2 linked regions of the Lytechinus pictus genome follow. The protein of the gene in region 2 interacts with the protein of the main gene of each other region in a pairwise test. Links are inferred from orthologs where the notes say so. Each region holds a gene or a part of one and is shown on either strand. Other genes may lie near its edges. The genes, in order: protein N-terminal glutamine amidohydrolase-like and BTB/POZ domain-containing protein KCTD9-like.

What was found.
Region 1: the proteins of BTB/POZ domain-containing protein KCTD9-like (region 2) and protein N-terminal glutamine amidohydrolase-like interact in binary tests that used the Homo sapiens proteins (3 or more experiments, as listed by UniProt). The link is inferred for Lytechinus pictus from reciprocal best matches to the Homo sapiens genes KCTD9 and NTAQ1.

Annotation. Positions count from the first base shown.
Region 1 is NC_087247.1:43,139,680-43,155,888, forward strand, and holds the start of protein N-terminal glutamine amidohydrolase-like, read right to left. Parts: upstream 7,683-16,209; 5' UTR 7,277-7,682; coding exon 7,191-7,276; intron 3,976-7,190; coding exon 3,876-3,975; intron 2,960-3,875; coding exon 2,906-2,959; intron 2,212-2,905; coding exon 2,063-2,211; intron 1,370-2,062; coding exon 1,242-1,369; intron 194-1,241; coding exon 84-193; 3' UTR 1-83. Other genes in the region: deoxyribonuclease-1-like, read right to left, coding at 13,272-13,319, 15,209-15,296. UniProt on the Homo sapiens protein: Mediates the side-chain deamidation of N-terminal glutamine residues to glutamate, an important step in N-end rule pathway of protein degradation.
Region 2 is NC_087256.1:3,240,911-3,257,834, forward strand, and holds the start of BTB/POZ domain-containing protein KCTD9-like, read right to left. Parts: upstream 9,027-16,924; 5' UTR 8,970-9,026; coding exon 8,907-8,969; intron 4,197-8,906; coding exon 4,075-4,196; intron 3,059-4,074; coding exon 3,015-3,058; intron 2,458-3,014; coding exon 2,334-2,457; intron 1,847-2,333; coding exon 1,788-1,846; intron 1-1,787. Other genes in the region: lactadherin-like, read right to left, coding at 13,592-13,768, 14,480-14,808, 15,448-15,595, 16,559-16,923. UniProt on the Homo sapiens protein: Substrate-specific adapter of a BCR (BTB-CUL3-RBX1) E3 ubiquitin-protein ligase complex, which mediates the ubiquitination of target proteins, leading to their degradation by the proteasome.

The sequences.
Region 1 (16,209 bases), on a different chromosome or scaffold from region 2:
CTACAGAACCAAAAGCCTGTCATCTCGTTGAAAATCAATGTCAAAATTTCAAAGTTAATAGAATACAGATTTTAGGCATGATTTCAGCTGTTTGAGTCCTTGAACTTTGCTGTGAGCTCATTCAGGGTCATGACCTCTCCATGACCTGTCCCTTTCTCCATGTTGATGAAACTATCTAGATTCATTGTTGTACCTGCACACAGTGATATAGAGAGACAAAAGAGTAAAAAGAGAAAGAGGAAGGGAGAGAAGTTTAATATGGAAAGAGGAAAGATAAATTTAAATCTGACATGTCCATATCTTTTGTATAGTTTAAGTTAAACTTTCAGACAAGATGGAACATTTATTCTTACATTGGATAGTTAATAATAAAAAGTATTTGTAAATGATGATTTGTCTCCATTCTATCACTTCATTTCCAATTACTTTTATATTGTGACCATATCACTCTGGGTTACACACTATAATAGTCATTATCAGATGCATTTTAAACTGTAAATTAATCTATTTTGTTCAGTAGATCCAACAATGATAAATAAACAAAGCTCCTTGTTCTCATTTACCTTGAAATAAACTTTGTTACCATGTATTTCTCTTTTGAAGAATTAACTATTTGGTTTAAAGAAATGTACCAAGACCAAAAAGAGATAAAAGAAAATGAAAGAATTACTTTTACCCCCAGTGGGGTCAATTTTATTGAAGAGTGGACATCATCCAAAAGAATTTAAAAAACATGGAAAAGGGTGTATTTTTCAGGGATAGGCACAGAACAGTGTTAAAATGAGAAAAAGAGAGAAAAAAAATCATAATTTAAAACGTGGAAAGGGTAAGTACTTTGCACAAGCTGCAGGATCTATAGTTACAAGATCCCTGAAAAAATCTTATCATGGCATCTCAATAAAAAGTACAATAAAAAGTCAAATTCAAAATGGAATCCCAAACCCCATCTCAGACCTAAAACCCACATCCCCAATACTATACACACAGTGGAAAGTGCTTGTAAAACAAGAGACTGAACAGCCTGGTTTAGGGTATGTCCAAATAATAAATGAAATCACTGTTTATAGTGTAAAGATTGCAAATTTCGGATGTCTGGACAAATTCTAGCTTTAGGGTGCCCTAGCGGCCTGCCTGGGATTCCTCGTTTAGGGTTCTTTTTCAAGGATGATTCTCGGAGATGCTGTCCACTCTTCAATGGAATTGACTCTCCTCCCCCCCCCCCATTCCCCACAGGCTCTTACCATCTTTTGCCACGATGCAAGGATGAGAAGGAGGGGGTGTCCTCCATTCTCCATTCTCTTTCTTCATATGTGATCGATCTGATGCAAACATATCTAGGAATTCCTGGGCAGGAACTACCCTGAAGAATCTATATAAAAAAACAAATACAGGTACATGTATATGTATTTTGATAGAAATTGGGTAAAGATGATCTGGGGCCCGTAACACAAAGGTTAGCAAATAATCACTAATTTGAAAGAACAATTCTGATTGGTTCTTAGTCAGCCTACTAATACGAGATGCGCATGCAACAATGATCTTGATAAGCCATTGCTTTCAGCGATTAATCACTAAACTTTGTGTTACGAGCCAAAGGATAGAATATTACCACAAAAAAAAAACACTAGATTGGGAATTGTGATATCAATATCTGGTAAGTCAACATAATCAACAGTGTAGTACACTATCAAAGACAATATAACACTTTATATTAATTATGGAAAACCGATTGATTGGATCAAAGCACATCATGCGATTCAATACAATCTCCAATACCTTTATGCAAATGAGCAAGTTTTTCCATTGAGGGTCACATCTGTTATCACAGTCCATAGATAGAGTGTCAATTTAATATGGATGATGCATCTTAAACAATGAAATATATTTTTATTTCAATCCATTATTTGAAACTTCTGCTGAATTTATTAGTAGCATTTAATCGCAGTTCTTCCTAGATAAAGTCCCATTACTTTGTATTATCATTTCTTGTTTTCCTAATGCTGTACACTTCTCTGAAGCATATACACTATTGAGTCTGGTTATTAAAATGTAAAAGAGGTACCTGAAATATTCCTGCCTAAGAACATCATTGCTACGGACTGCCACAGTCACATACTCCTCAAAGTCAATAGGGAATGGTAACACAGTATCCATATCATAAACTTGACTTCCACATGATGCATCCATGTGAATGAGGATCACATGGTAATCCTACAATAGAATGAGATCATTTTTTAAAACAAAACAAGATCATTCACAAATAACAAGATTATATGTATTTACAAATGCAACAATAATATTTACCAATAACATACTTTAGAGTATTTACAAATAAAACAATGATTTTTTTTTCTTTTCACAAATAATCTTGATTATTTACAAAATCACTAATAAATAAAGCTCAGGAGTTATCCCTTCAAAGTTATCATAAAGTCTAAAAACTCGTTCTGTAGTCTGTCCTTTTAGTTCTATTCATTTAATGGTCATTTGAATGCCCTTATGTAAACAAAAAGAAAACAACATGAATTCCTGAGTAATGTTTGATTATGTCTTCACTTGAAAGTGATTGTAATCATCCTATAACTTATGGCTACCTAATGACAAAATCCAGAATTGAAACATCTGGGTATTGTAATTCTCTTACAAACATTCGCACCAGGACAAGGCTTTCCCCTTTTTACCCATTTCATAGTAAAATATGCCTCTTCTATCACCTGATTTATATGTTCCATTTATTTACTAAATACGTTCATAATATTGTGATTGACAAAACCCTGGTAACAAAATTACCTGAAAATTGAGTCATTTTCACATAACAAATTTGTCATATGAAGTCATATATGTTTCCTCATATGGAATTGCCAAAATATTTCATGAAATGATTAACAAACATGACTTTACTAACCCAAACTACAGGGAGTTCTCCTTGACCACTTGCTTTCTGCATCCAAAGAGGGACCTGAAAAAATACAAAAAACAAACTGTGAATGTCTAAATATAACACATCAATCATCACAGTCTCCTTTCCCCCAATTGCTGACAATATCTTCTTGAAATGGTCAATGAGTTTGTGTTCGTAATCCAATCCAGGAATGAATTACCTCCATTCAAAATAGATGTCAGTGTTAATTGTATTATCTGCAGATCTGACGGACCACCAGGCCCTTGCCAGATTAAAACTAATTTTAATTCTTCAAATGCATAGATAAAGTTTTGCTATTTCGCATATGTCAGAACTGATTTAAGGCAACCATCTCGGTATTTCTTCTCTCCTTTTAGGGCATCGCATAGAACAATTCAAGATCTCCAAAGTTTGGAAATAACCTCTCAATTCTTCTTCAAGATTAACTGACAGTCACTGCCTTAAAAAAGTATCTAAATATCACACCTTTTGCGATCTCATCTTCTAAAGCCTATTTGACCATGGACACAGAATTCAAATATCATCAGCAGTATTTAATAGTATTTATATCACGATAAGATAATATCCTGTTTAATCACTTTTCATTTCAAAAGAGATCCACACATCACAGGCTTCTGATACATGAAAAGACGACAAAGTTTGACCAGGCACCCCTCCCCCCATCCTATCAATACCCTCCTTTTCTATTAAATATACAATATTGCCTGTATTCTGAGGTCAGGTTTAACTTAGACCATGGTCTAAGTCTGTGCTAAAATTATGGGTAGCCAAAAATTCTAACATTCTGTTTATATTGTATATTTCTTATGTTTACTATTTTGTTTCCTTTTGCTTTCATAATGATGAAAAATATTTCAGTTATCATTCCCAGAAAATTTGGGTGTCATATGAGTTAATAAATTGAATGTGTACTGTTGAGAGTACCCCATTCTATATGATTAATTCTACTCACCTTCCTTTCTTTGTTTGAGATGAAGATTGCATACGTCCTGCTCAATTCATTAGGGAAGTTCTTTTTTACACTTTCACACAGCTTCCATATATTCTCCTCACTGTTTGGAAAGATAACATATGCATTTATTTAATTTCCTCTCTCTTTTTGTTTTTTTCTGGGGGGGGGGGGGGTTGGGGTGATTTCAATGCAGAAAGTGGATATAGCTAACCAGGAAAATAGTCCTGAATTCATGAAGTGAGCTCTCTTACACTATCAGTCACAATTCTTTGACTACCGGTACCTGTTTCAAACAGAGAACAATAGATTATTGTTCTCTGGTTGAAACAAGTAAACAGGTAGTCAAAGAATTGTGACTTTACACATGATTCAGGGATTACTTTTAATGAGAAGGGCTGTATTTTGAGGCCGTCACATGAAATGCCCAAAATCATTAATTTTTCCACTATTTTGAGTAAGATTTTGTAATGAATATCTTTCTATGTATTGCATGTGTAAAGTTTGTAGTAGCTGCATATCTTCTTTCATTAAAATCGTGCAGATATGTGTGTGCACAGACTTGGGGGACCTTATCAATAACACACACAGCACCCCCAGAAAAATCTTGGGGAAGCTTCAGCACCACCAGAACCTCAACTTTCCAATACCATGATGTCATACTTTATAAGATAGACATATTCAAGGTCAAAAGCATTAACTTACATATGTAGACCTATCTTGTCTGTGTTTTTTTTAACATGTGCACACGTTGGTATCAACAATGCATAAAAGCATTTTCATTTATTCAAAGCATTTTCATTTATTTGAAGCAAGATAAAACAGCAAAGGCCTAACATTCGTTGGTCAAAGGCTGTGCCAGGAATTGAAATCCTGACTTTCATGGTATAGCCGGGCTCCTGAGACCACTAGGCCATGGCACCTCTCCATTGTATCTGGTTTATGTTGTGTATGACCCACTGTCATCAGTGGTTGTGATGGTGGTAGCATGATGGTGATACCAAACAGAATTGGGATAGTGCTTAGCTTAGAGTGACCACTGCACACTAATGTGGTGCTGCAAGAAAATATTTGCAATCAATTGCAAATTTCAGATGCAAATTTACAAGTGATCAATTTTAAGCAAATCAATATCATCCACCAAACAAAAGGACCATGGCATTCTTGTTGATCTGGAATTGACATTTCACAAGCTTGTATCTCTTGCAGTCAGTTAAGCTAATCAGATGCTTGGCATTGTAGAACGGTCCTTCTCATACTTAAGCAAAGTGACATTACCTATCCTTTACAAAACACTTGTCAGACCTCATCTGGAGTATGGGAACAGTGCCTGGCATCCTAGATTTTTTATGGACATTGATAAACTCGAAAGAGTCCAGAGATGTGCCACTAAATTACTGCCTATCTTAGCCAACAAACATTATGAAGAGAGACTCTAACATCTGAAGTTACATACACTCGTACATGTATAGATGAAAATGGGATGACATGATACAAGCAGGGAGATGGGTGTATAGACTTTTGCCAAGTTAATCACAATGCACCAAGCCTGCAAAACTAGAGGTCACTCGCTAAAAATCTTCAAGCAACAAAATAGACTCAACCTCAGAGGGCGCTCCTTCACCCAAAGTTTTCAATGACTGGAACAATCCAGGGGGGGTACTCAGTATATACTGCATGGTGAGTATGTGCCGCTGAGAGGACACTCAATTTTACGCTCAAATTTCCATTCCAAAGCATAGCATTTTTATCTTAATAAGAAAAAGGACAACGAAAGTCGTTCCAAAGCATAGCATTTTCTTCTTATCGAGAAAAAAGAAGAAAGAAATCCATTCCAAAGCTTTGCATACTTTTTGTTACGCCGTTCCGGCCGCATTGATCTGCTGCAGTCAGCTGCAATTTTGGTGAAAAGAGCAGAGCACTGTCTGACCGTGCCCGTGCCACCGGGCTAGCTGCATAGTTGTATTGATGCAGAAAGCAGACCATCTTTCATGTCTTTATTGTAAATTTTCAATACCATTGCTGATTGCCAATGTCGTTGGCAATGAAATGCCCAACATTCTGTCATTTCTATTCATTTTGGACATAAAGTTGACTTGCGATTCAGTTTTTTGCAACACATGAGACCTTGGCTTACCTCGAGCGAAGTTCGTGCAGGCTCCACTTCACTTCACTACCGCTACACTACGCTCCACCTACCCAAACTTCGAGACCGTGAACTCGATCTGATACTCCGAGTGACAAAGGTGGGATTTTATGGGGGGAAATATAAAATTCATGCAACATCACAATCTTTAAAAACAATTAAAACTAATATTCTTACTTAAATACAAAAAGTTTCACTTTTTTTCCATGCTTCTTTCAGTCTCAAAATTGGTGATTTAGAGCCAACATGAAGTTCCTCACACATATAAATAATTTGCTGCCGTATCGCATGCGATATGCGCGAGGTACCAGGTCCGGTCCGAGCTCGGACCCTCACGCGTGCATGCGATGTTTTGAAATCGGCAGCAAAATATTTATACATGTGAGGAACTTCATGTTGGCTCTAAATCACCAATTTTGAGACTGATAGAAGCATGGAAAAGAAATGAAACTTGGTGTAAAGTAAGAATATTAGTTTTGATTGTTTTTAAAGATTGTGATGTTGTATATTATAACCTCGTTCGTAGGATGAGTGGTGATGTTGCATGAATTTTATATTTTCCCCCCATAAAATTCCACCTTTGCCACTCAGAATATCAGATAGAGTTCACAGTCTCGAAGTTCGGGTAGGTGGAGCGTGGTGTAGCGGTAGTGAAGTGGAGTGGAGCCTGCACGAACTTCGCTCGAGGTAGACCTTGGCTCTGCACGAACTTTGCTCGAGGTAGACCTTGGCTCTGCACGAACTTCGCTTGAGGTAGACCTTGGCTCTGCACGAACTTCGCTCGAGGTAGACCTTGGCTCTGCACGAACTTCGCTCGAGGTAGACCTTGGCTCTGCACGAACTTCGCTTGAGGTAGACCTTGGCTATAGCCAAGGTCTACCTCGAGCGAAGTTCGTGCATGCAGGCTCCACTCCACTTCACTAAGTAACCCATACTAAAATAATAATTATTGCGGGTTTCATATTCATACGTGATATGGAGTAACAGTATACGCGTTATGCTGGCCGTATTTACTATTCGTATGAGTGTACCTTGCCTAGCCTCAGCTCCCGAGCGCGCCGGCGGCCGGCTGAGCTCCGAGCCCAAGTCCGAGGTGAAGAGAACTGGCTTCAGGATCAGTATCGAGGAAGTCCTATTTAATAGCGTTAATTAAGTATTCTGTCAAGACTTACCAAAAGCAATAACAGTAATAACAGTCAGCCAATGGAGGCAGGATACTCAACGGAACAGTTTCACCCGTACTCATGATACTCGGCATTCTATTCTAGATCATTAGATGAAAGTTTTTTTCCCTCGTCTTGGGCTCGTCTCCGAAGAAAAAGGGGAATCCCATAGAGGTGGATATATGGGGAATTCCCATTTGCGGATCCGGAGCGACCGCGAGATACGAGTTGTGTCTGCGCATTTGTTGTTGTTTGTATGGGGTGCACATCTTGGGGAGGTGGAATTTAATTTTGGAAAATCAGCTGTTGAAAGCAGAAGAAGGGGTATAAATTTCGATTTGCTTGCCAGTGTCAGAATTCCTCAGTCTGCCTTAGCGGGAGCGCAGGAAGGGTGCAAATGCACCACAGCCTGTACGCAGTTGATTTATAATATATAAAAAGGCAAAATTATTGTTAGATACGAAAAATTACACAAGTGTCTTTTTACAGTTTTTACGATTTATTTTTAATTGTTTTGGAGGAGGATAATCACTGAACCAGGAAGTAAAACCGCAGACATCTTCTTACCAGACAAGATGTGAATATTATCATAGAATGCATATCTTGAACAGAAGGTAATTTGATGCAGGGGCTGCGGAACGAATTTGAAAAAGTGTGTGTGTGGTGTGTGTGTATGGGGGTAACATGCATAAATAATTGTAATTAGGGCATATTCACTTTTCTGCAAAAGGCTAATGAAAAGTGTATGTGTGGGGGGGGGGGGGCTGGCTGGCAAAAGCCCCTAGCCCCCACGATTCTACGTCAAATTTATGTAAATATTTTAATTACATTTCTGTTTTTGGTCGCGCATGGTATCCACTTGTCAATGCAAGTGCCCCTGGGTTTAAGGTTTATTTGAATGAATATGCACAATACTGAACATTCTTTGAAAAGAGCGTTGACCCAGCATCTAATTTGATAACCCGGTTCTTGTACCAACTATATACTGTTTATGATAGGGTATGGACTTGAAATATAATCAGCCAATCCTTATTCTGGGTACATCCAGTGACATAACTCGTACGGGGGCATGGGGGCACGCCCCCCCCCCCCCCCCCGTCGGCAGGCAAAAAAAAAAACGGAGAAAAAGGAGAAAAAGAGGGAGAAAGGAAGAGAAAAGTAGATAGGAAAGAAGAAATTATTGCATATTATAATACTATATTATATATGTTTTGTTATATTACATAAATATTTTTTATAAATATTTTTTCTTAACTTTATGAAACATAATTTGCTCATGGCCTATATGTTAATCATTCCCGGTGCTCGCATTGTCTGTTTGACGAGATATATGATCCTGTTGTACTAAAACATTCTGTTTTCAAGTCAATATACACCAAATATATTTTCTCGCACTTAGAGTTATTATTGTTTTATGCTTCTTTTTCATGACTGCTTAAAGTGATTGCCCGGCCATTTTAAGGTCTGCATATAAAACATTTTCTATCCGTGCTTACGTTCGCATTAGTGGATTGGTAAGATATGTAGCTCTTCATAAATTCCTAAAATCAGTCCTTAAAATATCTCCTTTTCTGATCTATATATCAAATATTGCGAGCGCTTCGCGCTCGCAATATTTGATTAGTGAGATGCACATGTTGATAATGATTACAATGACTACAAAAAGTGTTTCATGTGTTTAGGTGTAATTCTAACCGTGACAAAATCAGCAAGCGCTTGGCACTCGCATTATATGATTATGGTGAGATAATGTATACTCTTAATGGATTCCTAAAAAGAGGTCCTTAAAATGTCCCTGTTTGGGGTCAATATATAAGAAAATTCACCTCGCGCTTCGCACTCGCAATGTTTGTTTAGCGAGACAGGTACGTATCATGATTACGAAAATTTGCTTATAATGTCCATTCTTAGGTCTGAATTAATATCAAAAATTTTCAGCTCGCGCTCGCATTATTTGATCAGTGAAATACATAACTGTTTAATGGCACAGTCCTTAAAATATATATATTTAAGGTCAGTACACATGGCAATTGAGCGCGCTCACTAAGTGTCTCAAATTTTTTTGCTGGTGCCCCCCCCCCCCCACGCCGTGACCCACGGTACGCCACTGGGTACATCATTCAAATTCATTTGCATAGCTCTCCACAGAAATATCCGCCACAACACAGCTTTACAAAATAATAAGTATATAAAAATGATATTTTCAACTCTTTTTATCTGACTTTTTTCAGTATTTCTTCTCATTTGAATATAAAGTATACCACATGGTCTTGAGTTGTCAGGGGGTGCTCATTATCTACCATAGGCAGTACCCCCTGGAAATCTGGTTGACAAGCAAAAAAAAAAACAACTTCAAAATGTTCTACGATTGAATTAATTGAGCTCTTAAAGGAACTTCTAATCACAATATTTTTCAATTTGCCTAAAATTGTCATTATCTTTATTTTTTATCTACTTTGTTAGCATTTGTATTGATATTTATGTAGTTGTCATTACTTAACCCCTGGGTGTCCACCTTCGAAAGTCAATGATTATAAATAGAGAGTATAAATGTAGGGGTATAGTAAATATCAGTATCTATGATGTCTCCTGCACCTGCTCAAGCATCATCATTGCACTCACTTGATCAGTACTTATATGACATGAATTTCACAGGGGCGTAACAGGGGTCGTTGGCCGGGGGGGGGGGGCAAGGGCCAACAATTTCCCGGTAATGTCATGGTACGAACAGGCAGTGGTGTAATGAGGCAAAATTTTTGAGGGGGCCACATATGGCGCATCGGGCATAATTTATTGAACAAAAAATTGCGAGCGAGCAAAAATGTTGACATTTTTATTGCAAAACTCAAATTTTGTGATAGATTTTGACATAATATTAAAAAAATATATATTAAATTTCACCCATCCCTTTTCTTTCCTTTTTTCTTTCTTTTTTTCGGTCAGTACGCTACTGTGAACAGGAATTTTTTTAATGATTGTGCGCGGGCATTAGGTCGAAAGTCTATGCAGCAGTAGCGTGATGAGTATAAAAAACCTGCTTAATGTAATTCGCGAGCGAGAGAAGCGAGCAAGAAAAAAATCACCTTTTCATGAGAATCTAACCTTTAGATAGATTTTGACATGATATTCAGAAAATATCTTACAATTTTCCTTTAATTTTCTTTCCTCCTTTTCTTTTTTGTTCTTGGTTGTAGAACTTTTAGAGAACATGGCCCAAACACTTCCATCTGTACGCCAGTGCTATGCAGGTGGGGTCCCGAGGCTCTGCCCCTGGAACCTCTTGATATTAAAGCTATTTTAAGCCTCACAGATGGCGGCTATTTTTTTAAAATCAAATCACGGGTATATGATAAAGGTTTTACACAACACATTTATTCAATGCAGTTGCGTAATAAACTAAATATGTTGAAGGGGCACAACATAGCAAATGTGGAGAAATTTGTAAAAAGTCACTAGCGAGCGAAGCGAGTCAGAAAAAAATGGCCTTTTGAAATGAAATTCTAATCAAGTGATAGATGTTTACATTATATTCAGTAAATAACACATTTTATTGTTTTCCATTCATTTAATTTCGTCGCCTCCTTTATTTTCTTTTATTTCCCTTTGGGTGTGGAACCAAGCCCCCACCCCTACGCCAGTGATTCAACGTAAAGCTTAAAGGTCAAGTCCACCCCAGAAAAATGTTGATTTTAATAAATAGAGAAAAATCCAACTAGAAAAACGCTGAAAATTTCATCAAAATCGAATGTAAAATAAGAAAGTTATGACATTATAAAGTTTCGCCTATTTTTCATAAAACAGTAATATGCACAATTCAGTGACATCCAAATGAGACAGTCGATGATGTCCTTCACTCACTATTTCTTTTTTTTTTTTATTGTTTGAATTATACAATATTCAATTTTTTTACATATTTGACAATAAGGACCAACTTGACTGAACCATATAGTATTAAACAATGCTAATTCCACAGGTTCAGGGAAGAATTAATCGTTGTTTCACTTGCCAATGAGGAGAAAATTAGAATATTTTATATGATAAAAATACAAAAGAAATAGTGAGTGGATGACGTCATCAGTCTCCTCATTTGCATACCGACCAGGGTGTGCATATAACTGTTTTGAGAAATTAAGCGAAAATTTATAATGTTATAACTTTCTTATTTTACAACCGATTTTGATGAAATTTTCAATGTTATGCTTGTTAGATTGTTCTCTTCTTATTCAAATAAACTTTTTGTTGGGGTGGACTTTTCCTTTAATGCAGGAAGGGTCGATCCATACAGGAGGCCCGATATAGAGCACTTTGATTCTTTGAAGGTTACAGATGGAGAGCCCCTACTGCATGGGGTCTTGGGCAGAGCCCCTGGTTAACCGTAACTCTTGCCAACGTAAGGCTATATACCTGGTATAAGAAGGGGGTATGTCTATCCTTTGGCAAAGGACTTTTTGTCCTGATTGCGACCGTTATTGCATAAAATTTAGCAAGCTTGTAATAGATTTCATACACAAAATTACACGCCGTCCCGGTAGTGTTATTAAGTTCTGCCTTTTTCGTGTCCCTTTCCTTCATTTTCCAATTTAGCTTTTGGCTCATTCCATTCTTTCTTTCCCGCTTTTGTTTGCCATCATCTTTAAATTAATTTCCCTTTCTTACTAATCATGCTAATGTATCAGTATATTTCGGAATGATTTGTTCTTTCTTTCAAATTCTTCTTTCCTTCCTTTTCCCGCTTTCCTTACGGTTTTTTTAATGTTTTTTTTTTCTTATTTTTCTTTTCACGTTTTCCCTTTCCCTTTCCCCCTTTCCTCTTTTTCCTCCTTTTCTTTCCCTACCCTTTCTTTCTTCTTTCTTTTTTCCTTCCTTCCTTTCTTTCTTTCTTTCTTTCTTTCTTTCTTTCTTTCCTTCCTTCCTTCCTTCCTTCCATCCTTCTTTCTTTCTTTCTTTCTTTCTTTCTTTCTTTCTTTCTTTCTTTCTTTCTTTCTTTCTTTCTTTCTTTCTTTCTCCCTTTTCTCTTTTTCCCGTTTTTTAAATTTTCCCGGTGAAATCCGCCAGCCGCCCCCGCCTGTTACGCCACTGGAATTTCTTCTATGAGACCAATACCGATTGCATGGTCACTATAGTAAAACCAATTGTCAATTGAACCAAGTGTCTTTATAACTCATTGCTAATTGCCAATAATTGACCCAACAAATTATTCCTATCATGCCTATTAAACCAAATGAAAATTGGCCCTATTGCCACCATTAAACTCCAATTGGAAATGGGGAACCTTAGGTTCTTAATTGGCCAATATAAATGGGTATATACACATGTTTTACTTTCCCAATAATTGAATATCTTCTATTTAATTGAAATTTTCGTCTTATGGGTTGCATATAAAATTATTGTGTCAACATACTATGTTCTTGCGTTAACCCTTGAACATTACCCATTACAAAACTCACACACACACAGTTTATGTTGCACAGATTGGAATTTAATCACTTTTTAAATTATCGATTACACGTATAATTAATATTTAAACATACTTTAGGTGAATATTCATTATTATGAACCTCTTGGGGATAGTCATTCACTGTAGCCATTATTTTACACGGCTTGGTATAATAGCACGAAATATTGTCGTATGCCTTACTAAAGGTATTATGATGAGTGGTACATGTAAGCAAATAGTTGGTCTCTGATTTCAATTCATTTGTTTTTATTTCATTTGAATTTACTAACATATTTATCCACAATCATGAGGAAGGAACGACAAAATTATGATAATCACTATAATGGTGATGATCGATGATTTAAAATTTCTGATATAATTCTTCTTGCTATCATTATTTTATGAATATCATCATTGCTATCATTACTACAAGACTGTATTTTATCATCATTATCACCAACCATCGTTTTCCTCACCCTCTTCTTCATCCTCTTCCTCCTCCTTATTTAATTATTAACATAATCTTGCATAAATCTAGCGATTATTATATTCACTCCATTAATTGTGTTTACGATTAAGTTTATAGCTGATAAAAAGTTGAATTATTAGAGTTATCCATTATCAATGAATCTGTCCAAACGTATAAAGTGGTATCAGTAGAGATCGAAATAAACAGGATAATGATCGCTGACATCCTTCGCCTGTAAGTGTGTGTTTAGGGAGAGAGAAAGAGAAATAGAGAGAGGGTGTGGTAGGGGTCGGTTTGACTAAGTATCATTATATTGTTATCGACGTTGTCAGTCACCAAATAAAAAACGTACTATCTACGAATATATATATATGTATATATATATATGTATATATATATATGCGTGTGTGAGGGTGTGTGTGTGTGTGCGGGTGTGTGTGTTACCATATTCATACTGGTAAAGTCACACTGGATGTTAGAAATAATGAAAACATTAAAATACTTAAAGGGATGGTCCGGGCTGAAAATATTCATATCTAAATAAATTAGAGTAAAATTCACAAAGCAAAATGTTGAAAATTTCATCAAAATTGGATAACAAATAACGAAGTTATTGAATTTTGAAGTTTCTCAATATTTTGTGAAAACAGTTGTATACAAATCATCATGAATATTCATTAAGTGGGCTGATGATGTCACATTCCCTTTTTCCTTTTTTGTTATGTCATTACATGAAATCATAAATGTTTCTTTTTTTCATGCATAATTATTTAAAAGATGTTTCTCTATTATGGTGAAATAAGTTGCAGCAATAAATAATTAATGCACTTAATCAGTTGCCAATCCATTTGTTTTAGTTCTTGGTAGAAATTTTTTGAATAAACCTAATTTCGTATGATAAAATACAAAAGAACAAGTGGGGATATGACATCATCAGCCCACCTGATGAATATTCATAAAGACATGCCTAGAACTGTTTCACCGGAATAATGCAAATCTTTAAAATTCAATAACTTTGCTATTTGTGATCCGATTTTGATCAAATTTTCAGCATTTTGCTCTGTGAAATTTACTCTAATCATTGAGATAAAAATATTTCCAGCCCGGACCATCCCTTTAACAATTTAAACTGACGAAGACCATCGTAGGCCTATACCTAAAAAGACAAATGTTGACGAAAGACGAATTATAACAAATAGTTATAGGCCTATGGGTTGTATATATATATATATATTTCTTCCATTATGCTTTTTAGTGGATTCTCATGAAATTTCACGCATATACAATAAGCACGATAAGAAAACGCCCGCGTACATTGCATTATAATCATGATAATTATTAACTGCCGTTATCACCGATTCATGTCTATCAGAACCACATGATTTGAATAAAAAATGAAAAAATGATACTGAAAAGATCATCAAAATTGGCAGGGGCTTGGGAATGATTTATAAAGAAAGGGTATTGGTTTGCTGAAAAAATGACAAGTAAAAAAATAATATATATTATAATTTTTACAAAACAGTTTACACCAAGCGGTATGCGAATGAGCAAACACTGAAATGGCAGTATTTATTTTGCATTATGTAACATGCAGTTGCAGACATTTTCATTTCATTTCATGTCATTCAAAATAATCAAGAGCTTGGTTGATTTTTTAACATCATGATTGCAATTTATCTTTATAAACTGATCATATCGGAGTCCTTAATTTAAGGATAGTATAACCATAGAGCTATAGCTCTATGGTATAACAATTGCCTGACAAAACGATACTTCCCTTTCTGTTTCATGTTGATTCTTTCTTTCTCTTTTCTTTCTTTTTTCTTTCTTTCTATTTCTCTCTCTCTTTCTTTCTTTCTTTCTTTCAGGGGCCGTTTTGAATGAGCCATTATCTTGTGCTTTTTGTGATCCCACCACTATCATTACAATGATGATACTTTTGGACATTTTGATTGAATCGAAGGAACTCATCTATGAAAAAAAAATCATGATGTCACAATTACATTTATTCAATTTTTTTCTCTATATCTATTCTATTTAAATCAACTTGTTTGTGGAGGTAGACTTGACTTTCAAGGGATGCAATAATGGGATAATTGAAAAAAAAAAGTTCTGTACCTCTTCCTGAGTGAGCCGATAATATGACTGGAAGTTGAAGACGAACCCGGAACTTCTGTCACCCTCGTCGATACCAGCAAGTACGATCCTATTGTGATTGAAATAGTAATGGAATTGAATATGATATATATTTTTATAAACCTCTCTTTAAGAATATCGAATAATCCATCCCTCTCATTGTTCAAAAGTGAGGTCATGTATTTGACCATGCCTCCAGAACAATAAACTAAGTTGGTTACCCAGGGCAACGGGCATAGTTCACAAGATTTCTGCCCATTGCCCCTGGACCCGCCCCATAACAACGGGCATAGTTAAATTTGGCTGAGATCCCCATTTCATTGCGTGCAAAATGTTGCTTTAGTGCGGTGATTGCGGATACCATGGAAATTAGCGCGATTTGATCATAAAGAGTAATATATGGATTTAAATGAAAATTTCAAGACAACTCGCGCATTTACGGGCTTATCATGCTTATTGCCCGAGTGCGCGTAACGGATATGACGATTCTTGACTTCTGCTTGTTCTATCCCCAATATTTTATTGAGTAGTATTAACAAAATAACACATTATTGGAAGAATCTAGTCGCGTTGCGGTCCTTCGAGCCTTTTGAAACAACCATGCCTCTCATAGCAGTCCAATTATCTATGAATCATCGAGGGGGGTACCCAGGTGGACCACTTCCATTGACGAGTGGATGAATACCAGGCGCGACCAAAAATGATTGCGTAAAAAAGTCTCTTTTTCAAGATTGGGCACGTTACGTACGTAAAGTAACAAGGGTGTCAAAAACAATAAAATACTGGAAAGGGGGTAGCCTATATATTTCATTTCGCTAGCAAAGCTACGTGTTTACGGTCGAATTTGCGAGGGTATGCGAGACTAAAATGCTTTATAAAGGATGTACTGTTGCCCCAACACTATGTGTTAAAGGGATGATCCATGCTGGAGATATTTATATCTCAATAAATAGAGTAAAATTTACAAAGCAAAATGCTGAAAA
Region 2 (16,924 bases):
ATATCATAATTCATATGAAATCCTATAGGTATTCATTTGCCAGGTGCATAAGGCGTTAGTGGGACGACAAACATCATTCACCTGACAGAAAAAAAAATGTCTTTATGATGATACATTTAATTCCTGTTGGAATTAAGGAGTAAGGCAGGGTGGTCTGTTGTCTCCAATGCTATACACTCTCTACATCGACGATCTCATCAAAATCCTTAGAGACCACCATCTGGGCTGTAAAATTATGAATCTCTATGTTGGTGTCATAGCATTTGCTGACGACATAGCGCTTCTCAGCAACAGCCCAACAGAGCTCCAGGAGATGCTTAATGTTACTCTACAATACACCCAGGATTGGAGATACAAGATAAACACCTCTAAGAGTGCCATTATAGTGTTCAACAAAGATCATGGTCTATCTGGGCACATCGGTGGAGAGTCCATCACGGAGGTCGCATCCCATAAACACCTTGGGATTACTAGGACTTGGGATGTACAGTTCGACTTTGCAGCGGAGGCTATCTCAAAAGGATACAAAGCGTTCTTTGCTCTTGTCGGGACATCTCCTTTCAGTGCCAGAGTTGTACCTCACATCGCCGCCAAGCTTTGGTCAACCTTCTGTGTCCCACGCATGCTATATGGCTGCGCTTGCGTGTCCTTCTCCAAGGCCATGTTGAATCGCCTCGACAAAGCTCAGGTACATCTTTTCAAACGTATACTAGGGCTTCCAGTACCTACTGCTGATGAAGCTGTGTACCTCCTGACAGACATACTGCCCATAAGTCTTCTGGTTATGAAGGAGAAGCTTTTGCTTTTAGGACAGATCCTGAACGTTGCCCCTGATAGAACAGAACGCAGGCTATTTCTTCATAGCATCTGTGCCAACACCCCTTCTGTTCAACAATGGCGCTCTATTCTCAGGATGCTAAATCTTCCTTCGCTGAACGAGCTGTTGGCTAGACCTCCAACCTATAGCCTCTGGAAACGCATGGTGGTGTTAGCAGTGACTGGAGCTTCAGAGTCCAGGCAAAGTGAGGCTCTATCCAAGAAAGTTTCACTCTCGTTATGGACCAGGAGACCAAAGCCCAAGGCTACCGACTTGTATCCTGGACATGTAGCTAATCCATCCTTGAGACCAGCTATCACCATCAGAGCCCAGATCTCTTGCAAAGTTTACTTAACTCAGGCCAGACTTGTCAGAATTGGAAAAGCTGCTGATGACATCTGTCGACTGTGTTCTGCTAATCGAAAAGATGTAGAACACTTTGTTTCATCATGTCCAGCCACTGCATCTGTGCGCCGTGACCTCATCAACCCCATAAAGGAAAATGACAATACCAGACAATTTGTAGGTTTCTTTGAGACAGACCCTCAGCATTTTCTAGAGTGTATTCTCTTTCTCCCCCCTGTGCACCTCAGCAATGCCAGTAAACCCCAGCTCCACACACTTATTTTATACTTCATCCACAACCTTCACACAACCCGCCAAAACCTCCTCAGCAACTTTCCTAGCTCTAACAACCCTTAGGAAGTGTCTACATTCTTCTACTGATACTAGCGATCTCCGACCTTAACGGAGGAGGGATACAAGAGAGTTGGATAAAAATTGAATTAAAAATTGAATTCATTTAGGTCTTCATTACTTTTATTTTTTAATTTCATTTACATCTCATCTCCAAGCAGAAATCATATTGTTTACAATATATAACTTAATAATTTATTCATATATTTTTCAATCATATTGTCATAATTTTAAATGGATAAGTTTTTTCAGTCATCTAACCATTTCTACTTACCATCATCAGCAAACATTCTAGCAAGCATACTTTCTGAATCTCTCCCAACCAGTGTTCTCCTGTAAAAGAAAATTGGGATTAAAATCAGTGAATGAGAGTCAAAGTGGACATTAAGTGAAAAATAAAACAGATTATCAGCTGATTACAATATTCTATGCAATATTGTTTTAACAAAGAACCAGAAATTACCAATATAATTCACTAAATAACCCAAGAACTCTATCAGACCATTGTTACCCCTATGCATGAGCCAAGTTTGGAAGTTGATACAATACGTGCCTCTTTTAAAAGTTATCACCAGAATGAAATATCATGACCTCAGTGACTTTTGATCTTTGAATTTGATGCCCCCAAAATAATCAAATCATTGTCATTCTTAAATGCATACATGCCTTGAGTGTGAAAGTTGATCTGCAAAATGGTTCTTTTGTTTATATTGGAAGGACGAAAACTGGACAGATGTACATGTACAACCTCAAAAACAACTGCATCCAGCGCCACCTGTGGTGGCATGAAATACTTCAAAAGGTGATCATTTCCTCTCACCTGTTTGTCATAAAGTGTCTTCCACCAACATTTAATGTAATCCAGTCGTTCTGAAGAACTCCATTTGCTTTTTCATGACTGCACATCATAACTGTGCTCTGCCCTGATCTACTAAATTTTGGATCTGTCAAAGAAACAAAATTTGCTCATTATTATCCTTGCCTGCATCAACAGACCATTGATATTAAAGGGAGGTTGTGTGCTTATTTGCAATCAATTGTGAATATTAATTGAAAATTGATTAAAGGATTTATTATTACCACGTCATATCATGCAGACAAGCAATCATTTGCAAGAAAAGCCTACAAATTTTTAGTAATTGTTTACAAATTCAAAATTTATTGCAATACTTTCGTAACACTTTTTCCATCTTCCAACAGGCCTCCATAATGCGGTCAAAATGCAGAGACCAATTTCATTCACAACAGGTATCTCAAGTCTGTACAATGACAGTGGAATATTTGTATTGCTTACAGTTACAGTTTATATTGCACATGAATTCAGTAATCTGAAATGTCAGCAAATAGAAAATTATGTTTCCATTGGCTGGCTATGAGAATTTAATTACATGAGATTTCTCATTTGATAGTGATAAGATATTAGGTTTCAATTCCGATTTAGTGATAGCATTTTAATAATACATATGAGGCAAAAGTGATTTTATAAAGAGAAATATCTTACCTATAAAAGGTTCATTCTCTGATATGTACAATATTTCATCATCCCTGCAGAGAGAGAAAAAAAAGTATCAACTGAAACTAGATTGGCTGGCCAAGAGCAGGGGCACCATCAGGGTCTGTTTGATGACATAAAACAAGGAGATGGGGGCTGTACAAGCTCAGCTTTTTATTTTGACTCCCCGCTTTTATTACATACTGTACTGTACATTATATTAAATGCTTATCTTGATTCTTTGTAAACATATATTTGTTGTAAAAGTGGAACAAAAAATTCAATTGTAAAAATTAAAAGATATATCCAACCTTTTCCATACCCTTTTTTTAGCTCTCTTTTCTACCTTTTTCATCTATTAAGCTATGTTTTTTTTTTAAATTCATTGCAGTTGTGGACTTCACCAACTTCCACACCATTCCTGGCAAAAATGCAAATTTCATCTAATTTGATTTTTGAAAAAAAAAGAACTAATCCCTCTTGTGACCTTCATCCATATACAAAATCTGTTTCCCAGAGAGCTGCAGCATGGCAAAAGATCATAATTTTCTAAATATATGTATTTTTATTTCATTTTTTACGCTGACAGTACAGTAAGTCCACACTTTACATGCAACAGACTAAATGCACACTTGATTTGAAATACAGATAATCGGTATTATACAACACACATAGAGATCCGTGACAGCTGATTGGATGAATGTGTATCACATGAAATTCAGAGTTATCAGCAATAGTAACTTGTGCATGCGCATACCTGCATCACTGCGCTGCATACACTACGCGCATATATAAAATTTAGTAAAATAAAGGCTAAAGAAAGGCCCAAGCAGATCTAAGTAGATCTAGTCCTATTCCTTCTTTTCCTCTATTTTGGTTATTTGGTCTACGTTGACTATGTTTTGTCATTCATGCGACCATTCAAATATTACTTTCAGTGCAAACTGAAGCAGTCTATTCAACTGCACTTCACGTCGTCGAATAGACTTTTTCAAATTTGCAAGCTCATGTAATATTCCAAACGATCACACTCATTAACATTGAATATTTCATGCTATAGGTTTCATACCTGATTAAAGAGGCATCTTCTATTCTACCTCCCTTTGCTGTGAATACATGTGTAGCTGTTAAGCCAAGGCAGTTACTAGCGACTAGTATCAGTCTTTCCATCGTATCTGGGCATGCTATGACCTGGAATATGAATGTTGATAATATTGATAATCATAATAATAATTAATAAATAAATAATTATTGTATAGTACACACCATATCATGATATAAAATTTCTATGCACTTCAAAAGGTGAAAATACCCACTCACTTTTATCAAGAACTTTCTTTTGAGGATTACGTTTGTAGGCTGCTTTACAGTATTAAATTCATCAAATCAATTCTTGTACAAGAAACTTTATTTTTTGGCACTTTTTCAAGGCAGTGAAAAGCTCTTTTCAGAATGCATTTCTTTTCTGAACACACATAAAATTGTGCAAGAATATTGTAAGTCTGATAATTGAAGAAATTATTAATTCATTGCTTGACCATGGGCGGAAATCTCTCCCCAAAGGTAGGGGGACCAGGGGCTGCAAAATTTGACAAGCAAAAAAAAAAAGAAAAAAAAGGTTATCACCCAAAAAGTAAGGTCATCTCGTCCAAAATACATGTTTTATTTCGATTTTGAATGATGCATTTCTTTCCATCATAAGAGACCAAAAACAGTAGGGGACATTTGATATTGTGTCCCCCCTACTTTTTTGGGTAGGGGGGAAGCATCCGCTCTGTCCCCACCTGGGATTTCCGCCCATGGATGATTTCCGTTGAATCGTTGAAACGTACCCAATAATGACCACTTTAAAACAAGAACGTGGAATGCATGATGGAGATCACATAAACAAGAATGACTACATGGTCACAAGCTAGTCTCCTGAAACAATCAATATTACTGACTAAGACTTCATCATGGTGAAAGCTATCAACAAAAATCAGTGAAAATCTAGAGTATTCTTTGAAAAACCATTACCAATAGAGGCCAACAGTCAACATTGAAGACTCTATTAAGGGATGGTCCAGGCTGAAGATATTTCTATCTCAAGAAATAGAGTAAAATTCACATCTGGAGCAAAATGCTGAAAATTTGATCAAAATCGGGTAACAAATAACAAAGTTATTGAAGTTTAAAGATAAGCATTATTCCAGTGAAACAGTTTGAGGAATGTCTTTATGAATATTTATTAGGTGGGCTGATGATGTCATATCCCCACTTGTACTTTTGTATTTCATTACATGAAATTGAGTTTATTTGAAATTTTCTGACCAAGAACTAAGTCAATTGGATTGAAAACTGAGTACCGGTAAGTGCATTAGTTATTTATTGCCACAACTTATTTCATCATAATGGAGACACATCAATTACACATGTATGAAAAAATGAAACATTTATGATTTCATGTAATAGCATAAGAAAGAGGAAGTGGGGATGTGACATCATCAGCCCACCTAATGAATATTCATGACGATGTGCATATAACAAAATATTGATAAACTTTAAATTTCAATAACTTTGTAATTTGTTATCCGATTTTGATGAAATTTCCAGTATTTTGCTCCGTGAATTTTACGCTATTTATTTAGATATAAATATTTTCAGCCCGGACCATCCCTTTAAACTTATTCGGGAGATTATCTCTTATATAAGTTGGCAGTAAAGGAAAAGATGATGGGCAGATTCATGAAAATTTTCCCTTGAATATTTTTCATCATCTACACACAAATGACAAAACAATTGAGCTTCTTACTAATGACAGAAAAAACATGATAGAGAAAACAAAGATTAAGCATGCTCTCATAATGTGGCACTCCCTAGATTCTTTGTTTCACTATGCCTAATTCCCACACAAGTTTGCAGACTGTAACCAACAAGCCTGTGTTGAGTTCATGCAATTTTCTAACACACAATATTTAACATATCAGTTTTGTAAAAAAAAAAATAATAACAATTTTCTGGAGTGGACTTGACCTTCAAAGGAAATCCATCATTAATTACCACCTTCGACAAGCAGGTCTATAGGGCCTGTGTCTAGGTTCCATAATGAAAAGACAAAATTCATCACGGAGTCCTCTAGACTACCCAAGACCCCACATTTTACTCTTTGTAGTTGTAGGGATTGATTTTGTACTTATATTTCTTTCCACTCTTATTCATGAATCATCCCCTTTTTTCTAATAGAACATCCCTCATTTATATTCACCCTTTTCATCCTAACTTCCATTCCTTCATGCACAGCTCTCTCTTATACATTAACTGCTGTAGGTGTGCGGCCGCTTAAAGGGATGGTCCGGGCTGAAAATATTTATATCTAAATAAATAGAGTAAAATTCACAGAGCAAAATGCTGAACATTTCATCAAAATCGGATAACAAAATTATTGAATTTTAAAGTTTATCAATATTTTATGAAAACAGTTATATGCACATCGTCATGAATATTCATTAAGTGGGCTGATGATGTCACATCCCCACTTTCCTTTTTCTTATGTTATTACATGATATCATAAATGTTTCATTTTTTCATACATGGGTAAATGATGTCTCCATTATGATAAATAAGTTGCGGCAATAAATAACTAATGCACTTAATCAGTTGTCAATCCAATTGTTTTAGTTCTTGGTAGAAAAATGTTGAATAAACCTTATTTCATATAATGAAATACAAAATGACAAGTGGGGATATGACATCATCAGCCCATCTAATGAATATTCATAAGACATGCCGAGAACTGTTTCACCGGAATAATGCAAATCTTTAAAATTTAATGACTTTGTTATTTGTTATCCGATTTTGATCAAATTTTCAGTATTTTGCTCTGTGAATTTTACTCTATTTATTAAGATAGAACCATCCCTTTAAAGGAGAATGAAACTCTTGGAGCAAGTTAGCTTTTGTGAAAGCAGAAAAATCAAAGAATAAGAACAACAAAAGTTTGAGTAAAATAGGACTAGCAATAGAAGAGTTATGAGCATTTGAATGTCGAGATCACTAATGCTATGGAGATCCTCCCATTGGCAATGCGACCAAGATCTATGATGTCACAGATGAACAACTCTCCCCTTTTGGACGCTGAAAATATACCCCAAAACATCTCTTTTTGCTCATTCTAATCATATGACAAACGATTCATCAATGATATAATGTTCTGAAACCTCTGTACTTGTCATCTCATAAAGAGAACACCTCACCTTGTGATAGACTCTATAAAAGTGAGAATATAAGTGAAATAAGTACTTAAATAATGAGGGAGTTGTACGTGTACGTGACATCACAGCTCTTGGTCGCATTGCCAATTGGAGGATCTAGATGGCATTAGTGATCTCAATATTCAAATGCTCATAACTTTCTTATTATTCATTCAATCTTCCTCAAACTTTCAACAATATGTTTCTTTGATTTTTCTCTGTGATATGGATTCAGCTGGTTTCAAGTGTTTCATTTTCCTTTAATGTTTTTCCCATCCTTAACTATTTTGGACAAACCATTTTAATCCATACATATCATATAAAAATGACTGATGGTACTTCCTTTTTAATCGTGCAAATTGGCCAATATTTTATTATTATTGTCTTATCTGCAATCTTCCCATGTAATTGATGTAAACTTTGTATGTGCTTTGTTTTTGTTTTTATGATGAATGGAATAAATGCTGTCAAATCTAATCTAATCAATAGCAAATCGCGGTGGTCAAGATTGACCACCGCTACTGACCACGATAGCATTCCCCAGTCAGCCGCCGCCCTGTCTCCAGTGCGCGGTACTATACGATGTACAATTCATATGGCGCTTCAATCCCGCAAGCTCCGTGAGGCAGCTGCAGTTCACCTCAAAACGGAGCGCAAACGCTGCTAAATGCACAGTTCCACTGAAAAGCATGTGAAAATAGCAAGCGTACACGCTTTTTTATAACATTGACTTCCGGGAAAAAGTGGCGGCCGACATCGACTCGCAAAAATGCAATTTTCACGTGAGGACGTTTTAAAAATTCACAAACATCAGGAAAACCGTGAAAAATCCACTTTTTTGGACCCCTTGTTCCTTAACTACGATGTTAAGAAGTACCGAGTGTGATATTTTTTCCGCAAGATATGGTGATCTAGGTAAGAAAATGTCACTTTTTATTTGAGATTTTGCCCATGTCGCCGGATAATTTGTAGTGTGAATGTGACCTAGTGAATGTGTGGGGTACATCTCTAGTGTGTTGGAGATTTCAGTGGTATATTGCCGAGTCTGCTTAAAATGCCGCACACCAACCCCCTGCCGCGCACCGACGCAGTTACTCTATATACGTGTAGCTCATTTTATTCGTATTATATTCCTTTTTTTTCTCTATTTTCTTCATTATTTGAACAATCATAGTAATTGGACTTGCAATCCCCACCTGCAGGATTGGACATGGAAATTTATTTCTAATAACATTCTTCCTGCACCCTTTATATTGGATTGCACAATGCCATGAAAATAAAAAAAAATGTCATGACTTTAAATATGTTGTGATGAATCATGAAGGGCGTGTCTCAAAAACACATGAAACCATTCTCTTATTTTTATATTCCATTTATTTTCCGTCACTCCAATCTCAGAAGAGACTTTAGACTAAATTATTGATACTATTGAAGACAAATATATTCCACTGAAACCGAAAAGAAATAAAATAAAACAAAGACATCCGAAAGTATGTATGAATATGATTACAAATAATTCAACTAAAAACGTGACACAACTTTGTGCAGATGGGACCGAGATAAAAATCGGGACTAGTACATCTACAACTACAAGCTCACAATCTCCTGTGATAAGCGCTCTCATCAACACGTTTTCCTCTAAAACAAAACACTATTTATTCATTTTACATACCTTCCCATCAGAAGTCCTTCCATTTCGAAATATTGTGACTCTAGGGCGTGTATTTGAGGCCATCTTTGCAGGAATGACGACGGCAATCAGCTGATTTTACGCGACGGACAGTATGGTATCTCCAAGCAATAAATCTCCAAGAAATAAATTTTCCAAGAAATAAATTTTCCAAGAAAAGGATTGAATAAAAAGTCTGCTTGTATATACATATAGTTGAATAGCGGGACAAAGCAATATCCATTTATAATCATTTTCGAAATCATTCTTTTATTCTATTTATATAAAGAGTGAACAAAGAACATATTGAAGATATAACTGTATGAAAATTAACAGTAGGCTGTCCCCAAATTTTCATATTTCACTCACACTTCTGATAATATTACTATATACACTGTTAGAAAATTTATCCTTAAAATAAAAGAAGTTCCTGCAGCAGAGTCTCAATAACACCTGTAATCTTACCAGATTGCGTAATCTTACAGAAAATTGGTATTTGGTGTATGGAATCTTACAAATTTCCTTAAATAAAACACCCTTTTTCCCTTTTTAAACAGACCTGTTCTGTTAAATTGCAGAAAAATTCCTGTTTTATGAATTTACAGAATGATTTTGTAATTGCTTTCTGCAAAATCTTCTTTTTTTCTGTAAAATCACGGGTTTTTTTAACAGTGTAGTGTTAGTTGGATAAATAACATTATTCAACATATTTATAGGCCTAGTGCTTAGTAATACAAATGTTTCTATAAGCGCTGCATGTTAATCTATTATTACAATGCTTTTGCAATATTTATAGGGTTAAGCTGCACTAATCTGTAACACTTCCTCATAATAATATGGAAATATATTTTTTCGACGTGATTTGATTCAAGTTAACAAAATATTTAAAAATTATAATAAGGTACATGATAAACGATATTTGTTTCCCTCCTCTTCTAATAATAGTTAATCCATCAAGTATAAGGTGACGGAGTTATTCATTTTGGCCATACAGGCTTGATTGCATTTCGACACTCACACTTATATGTCATATTCATCTCTATAATCTTGAAATACCGTTTACGTGGGAGTAGAGATGACTTGCCCGCTTCAGTTCCGGCTTCAGTTTAGTTTATTTGCTCGGATCTTCATTTTGACGGAAATCACTTTAATTCGAGTTAGCATTGGATGGCATACAGTACTACTGTTTTCTCCAAACACTAGCATCTTTTATCTTTGTCTATAGCTCTTTCTGTTGTCTATCCTGAGTCCTGACTATAATTAGCATGCTCCTGCTCTACTTAACTCGCCGACTCAGGCCAGCCTTATCTCATCTCATATCAACGACTTAAGCCAGCCTCCTCTATTCTCAACTCATTTGGTTTACAGTATGTACTTTTATGTAAGGGCTAAACTTGATTTTGAAAGACACTCTACTTTCTCGCCTATTTCACTTCTACCTCTATCAACTTTTTATTTGTAGAACTGTCACACAGTGTACTGTAAACCACTTCCTGGAAGGGTAGACTAGTGACTTACCACCGATCCAATCATTAGGCAATTATATTCATTCCAAATTCTTTTGATTTCTCCCCTCTATGATAAATGTTTATAATCAACCCAATCATTATTTTTATTAGTGTTGCACAGCTGAAATATATTGTGATTTGTTTTGATTATTTTGTATTTTGTAGAGCCTATACAATGATTTACTTTGCATTATCGCTTTGTTGACAAACAGCTGAAAGCATTTGGTTGGATAAATAGATGGACAAGATACGGTATCAAACCAACGTGGGTATACATTTAACATTTAAGATTCTTGTTATTATTGTTCCGTGCAAAATGAAATATAAATTTTGATTCTTACAGTACATTCTTAACAACTTTTAATATACATAATATACATGACTGTACGCATGACAGTTTTTTCCCCCACATGATATGCGTTTAACATATTACATCAAACACCTATATATAAATATATATATTAAAAAAAAGCAATCCAGATATCAAAACCCTCATTCATGCATGCAGAAACATATACAATTTCGAATCCATTATAAGCTAATATGTTTGTTCAAGTCAGTTCAAAACAAACATTTCTTAATGCTTTTTTTTTTAACATACATGTATCTGATTCATTAGCAGTATAGTACAAAATACAATTAAATTTTCATCAACACTTTTATACAAGCAATAAGGCGTAGAAAATAAGACAAAAAGCAGGTACAATATACAGTGCGCCCCAGAAAAAAAGGAAACCAGGATTATCATGTCTTTTTAATTCAAAGGCAAATAAATTTCGATTTTTCATTTGGATAATCATATCATTCAATTATTCCTCTTTATTTTGATAACTGATCTAAGACAAACACTTCACGCATTAATGAGCAAGCAGAGTTCGAAATTTTAATCAGTCAGACCGCAGGTCCCTATGCTAATGAGCAAAAAGGCCAGATTCATCCAAATCATCTCGTGGCTGAATCCTCCTCCTTGTAAAATCTCGTGATTCGTGAGATTTTCTTTCTCTAAGAATTTACCTTATTTAATCTCAAGTTAAATGAAATATTATTACATCATCGGATAGAGTAAAAGTTACTCTTTCATATTGGTCATTTATGTTGTATACAATATTTTGTTAAATAAGTAAATTTCTGGCCTGAAAATGTGCCATAAAACTGAATTTTCTTCCTCTGTTTTCTTTTGCATATTGTGCAAAACTTTTTATTTTGAGCCTCAATGATATCTATATCACCATAAAGCTGAACTTCTGTACTTTCTCACAATGCCAATCTTGATATGCGGCACCTTTTAATCGGGTCAAGATCACACTTTTCCCACCAAGATACAAGACGAGATTTCTGAAATTTTGCACTTGCAAGAAATCCAGAGTTCTGATTGGCTGGATAAGGTTCACAGAACAACAGGCGCGGGGTATTTGAGGAGATTACCACATGGGAAGTGTGACCTTCCCACGAACCCAGGCACTGGAACCGTTGGAATTTGCCATTGTGTGGTCTCTTTGACCAATCAGAGAGCAGTATTCTTGTTTTCAAGCTGCTTTATGTACCTGGCAAATGAAAAGTGTGATCTTGACCCGATTAAACCAATTCTTATTTTGAAACCTATATCATTTTAAAGCATACATATTCAGCTTTATCATGATATAAAAATCATTTGGGCTCAAACAAAAGTAAAGTGTGAAAATAGCAGCTTTTGTCAGGTGAAAATTTTTATTTTGTAGCATATTTTAGATTAAAATTTTAACCTATATTACAAAATTTTTGAATAAATCCAAACACATGACCTGAAAGAATTATTCTTTTTATTTACAATGGTACCAAATTCATGAAATTCGATGCACAATTAGAGCAGCAATGACCGAATGAAAAGAGGTGTTTTGGTCCGCATCAAGCTCATTAAATATGCAAAACATCTCAAGTCATGAATATCACTTGGATGAAAGAAGCCACTTTCTTGGGACCTGCAGTCTGACTGTAATGTCAAAACCAGGTTGCGCAGAAAAATTGGACAAGATTGGTTCGTGGTACGACGACCGTGTATATTCAACGATTGGCTCATTAGCATTTCTTTTGTATTCCTTGTTAAGCTTCTCTCACTTATCCTTGAAATGAGAGTGGAATCAGATTCACACGTAAGTTTCTGAGCAAATTGTTTCTGATACACCTCAATATCTATTGTTTGTAACCTGCCATGCGTGAACGAATTGCTAAGCTGTTGGTTTCAAATGAGAGATGAGATTCCACTCTTGCCATGAGTATCAAATTTATAGTAAAAACATATTTAATAATTGTGAAATCTATAATTGAGAACGAGTTTCCTTTTTTGGGGGACGCACTGTATTTCAAAGGAGGACACACTTTCAGTAAACCTTTTGGAAACATAGTTACCTCAGTTTCCGTAATCACTGACCAAATTATGTAGCGATTCTCAAAATACAGATATATCTTTGCAAAGGATTTTATGAAAAGGCTATATAATCAAATCAGTAGGCCTATAATACCTCACCCCATACCATTACAAAGAATTTGAACCTGATTAGGGATTCTTCTTCTTCTCCCTCCTCTTCTTCTTCTTCTTAACCAAAATCATCAATTTTCGAGATTTCCGTCTCAGACACTCAAAAGAACACATAAAAACCACGACCTGAAATCAATTCAAATTTGAATTTTATGGCAAAAGGGTACACGATATGGGACACGATATGGGCAGTAGCATTCATAAGTAACTTAATTTAATGAAATGGAAAAGTCTTCGACGGAGATTGTAGCGACAGGTAAAGCATGTTTATTATTTTGCCCTTTAAAATGTATTTGAAAGCAGTATCCAGTTCAATAAATCTTGCACACAGCTCATGATTAGCGTGCGATCCGATTTTGGAAAAAAAATAGTAAAAAAATTCGAATATTGATGCATGAAACATCTTTATTGAACGATTGCTTATATTCAAATCTGTGACTATGAAATCATCTTTACGACTTAAGAAAAGGCGAAGTAAATTGTAACAATATAGCTACGATTTAAACCAATTTAGCCTTTATTCCAAAATACAAGCTTGGTATCACCCAAAAATGTTATATTCATATGCAACCTCTGATAAAAAGATATTTTTCATTCACAGTTTTATACAATAAACAAAATGCGATTTGTCCCAAACTCGGTTCGTATACCAGTCGTAAAGTAAGTCAATGGACAGCAACATCGGGTAACATGAACGGGCCTTCGCCGAGAAGTTCGAATCTGAGACCAATGTGGTCATGCCACGCTACAGGAGCGAGCAGGACGTAACGGGCCAGGATGGGTGGATTGAATCGGTTGGTGAAGTGAGAAAACTGGTCGCAGTTACCAGTGAATATTTTAATCTGAAATTCAAAACAATGTGCATATTTAAGTCATTAATCATCATTATCACGACCAAAGGCGTATGTTAGAAAATTATCAATTTTTCGTCAGTACTTGCACCACGTACAGGCACAAGATGTCGCATTTATATGTGGCAAAATTGACAGGGAACTTCTGAAGAGGAACTTTAGAGGAACATTTACATTTCTATGGCATCGATGGTGTCAGTACCATCCTTGATAATGCATCCTCTTGTGTCTGTAGCAGTAGTACTGACGAAAAAATACAATCCCGAGGCAAGTGATAGCACATGAAATCGCTCTCCCCTTCCATTCTTTGATGCTCTGAATTTTCGGTCGTTCATTATATTATTAAACTCGCGCCACTTGCCTCCTTGATGCGCCACTTATTATGGTAAATGACTGATATGAATTCTCCTTTGAATTACATAAATGTAAATTTCAATATATAATTCTACATTGATCAATAAATATACAAGAGACAATAATCTATACTTTCTTGAAATTGGTCTTTCTTGTCACATGGTCACTGAAGCCATTTAGCTTCAACGAGGGTTGTTTCCGCCCTCACACTATTTTTACCCTTTTTATTTTTTAATTATGAACTATTAAACGCAATAAGCAAAACATTCTATTAATATTACGTTTTCTCAATATTCAATATATTTTTTTCATCGATTAAATATATCACGTGAAATTTGATATAATGACCTCTTTTGCTTCTCCGCATGTCGATTCAGTCACTGGGATCCAATTCCCTCTACTCTCTTGGCTGGTCCAGACAGTATACCGGGTCACCCAGTGAGCGGCATCACTCCGCCCCTGAGTTATAACTCCCGTCAAACGATACACAGCCATGAGATCAACCTGGATCCATTGAGCGAGATCATTGATGCGGGGCACCCATCCCCCGACCTCGTGGTTGAGTCTCGCCGATTCGGAACAGTACGCGTCGTCGCTGATGCACGAGGACGCGGCAAGACTCGAGTTGGGTATACGACCACTTTCCAGGCCCAACTTGTTCTCGTCAATCCCAACTTCTGTAAAGCAAACAGTATACCCAAATAGGAGCATCCATGCAGAATAGAATGACCGTTTCACTGATCATTTCATTCCCGAGGATTATAGGTCTATATGCATAAAACGGGAGGGGAGGGAGGGGAATGGCTTGATGACGAGACTTCGTCATCATAATCACCTCAACATTCCCATCATCATTCAAACAACATTGTCATCATCGCCGTCGTCATCATCATCATATATATTCAGGATATCACAACTATCCTCAGCATTACCATGTTTACCCTAATTTTGAACACCGTTTGTGAGCATCACCGTCACCGTCAACATCATCATCGTCATTATCATTATCATCATCATTATCACCATCATCATCATTATTATCATTATCATCATCATCATCATCATCATCACCATCATCATCATCACCATCATCATCATCACCGATCCTCATGACCATTATACCACCTCTCTTGTCACCACTACCACTATCTTTTTCAATATCATCAACATCATCATCATCATCATCACCACCATCATCAATATCATTATCATCATCACCACCATCATTATCACCGATATCATAATTATCATCATCACCATCACCACCACTATCATCATCACCATAGATCTTTTCAGCAACAACATGAAGTCCATACCTGCGACTGGTCCATTACCGAGGAGTTCTAGTCTGAGAGCAATATGCCTGGTCCATCTCTTTGGATGAACCCTGACTGCACGAGCCGTCAAGGGAGTCTCAAAGACGTTGATGATCGGTGTTGCACGGTCGTGATTCCCTTGATAGATCTGAGAATGGAATAAGTAATTCTGCTTAATAATCGCTTGCCTTAATTCCAAATTTGTAAACCATCTTCCAGCGGGCACTACCCGATCGCCTATTCCCTCATAATTTCCAATTTATAATAAAACATTTAGGAAGTCACACGGGCCTTCAATTTTAACTTTGATTAGGGAAAGGCCACTTTTCGATAAGGCACATTAACAGCACAAATAAGAAAATAAATAGCAAAAAATCACCAAGACCATGAGAGAGGGTTTGAGGTCAATAAGTAAGACATCTAATGCCTTGACTTTGAATAACTTGGATGTATATCATTTAGATGTCTTCAGAATGATAGACTCTTCACTTTGATATTGCGTTTGCTCCGATTAGCAATTATATCATTAAAAATGCTAAATAAGATCATCTAGGTCCTGTTTCTTAAAGACTTGACATAATAACAAATGCACAATTTCCATACCAAATTTACCATCAACTAATGAGATAGAAGGATTTCAGTAGCTTTTCGCAAATTTCTTATTATAACAAGTTTTGCGAAACGGACCCCTGATAATTATTTCGTTACGGTCAACCGACTGAGTGATAGAGCGACAGGGTAATAGTAAGGTAGATTTCGCCAGTTTCCCGAATACCGCTACACCCACTACATCAGTACCAGACTAGAATCAGACTACCACCCATTATAATAATAATAATAATAATAATACATAACATTTATAAGGCGCTTACTACTTGTGTTTCTAAGCGCACTGTGTTCTGTTTATGGTTTGTACTTGGGTTTAAGAAATAAAGAAAAAACAATGTGGCAGGGGAAAATGACACAGCTAATACAACTATACTAATAATCAAAAATCAAAACTGGTGTGCACCTCCAATTGACCGACCCACAACTGTGAATCATCTAATAAACAGGTAGGTTTTGAGTAGGGTTTTGAACTGATTCACAGACTTGGCATTATTGACCTAACCTTCTCTTCATGACCACAATCCTGTATGAACGACCACATCTTGCCATCCATGCTATGCGATACAGCAAATGACGTCACCCATTGGTCCGCGTCTTGCCTTCCTTGCGTGATGACACCAACCACTCGGTATTTATCTACCAGATCTACTCCTACCCATTGGTTGTGATCGTCAAATCGTGGTATCCACGCGCCTGGGAGTTTCTCCGATGACGTCACTGTGTACCTCGAGGTTTCCCCTTGTCGCTCATCGCCAGCGAAGTTGAGACGCGCGTATTTCGCGCAGTTGCGATCGTGGTAGCAACTGGATGCGTAAAGTTCGGAATCCGGTATTCGATAATCCTCCAGGCCCAGGGTATTCGGTACAAC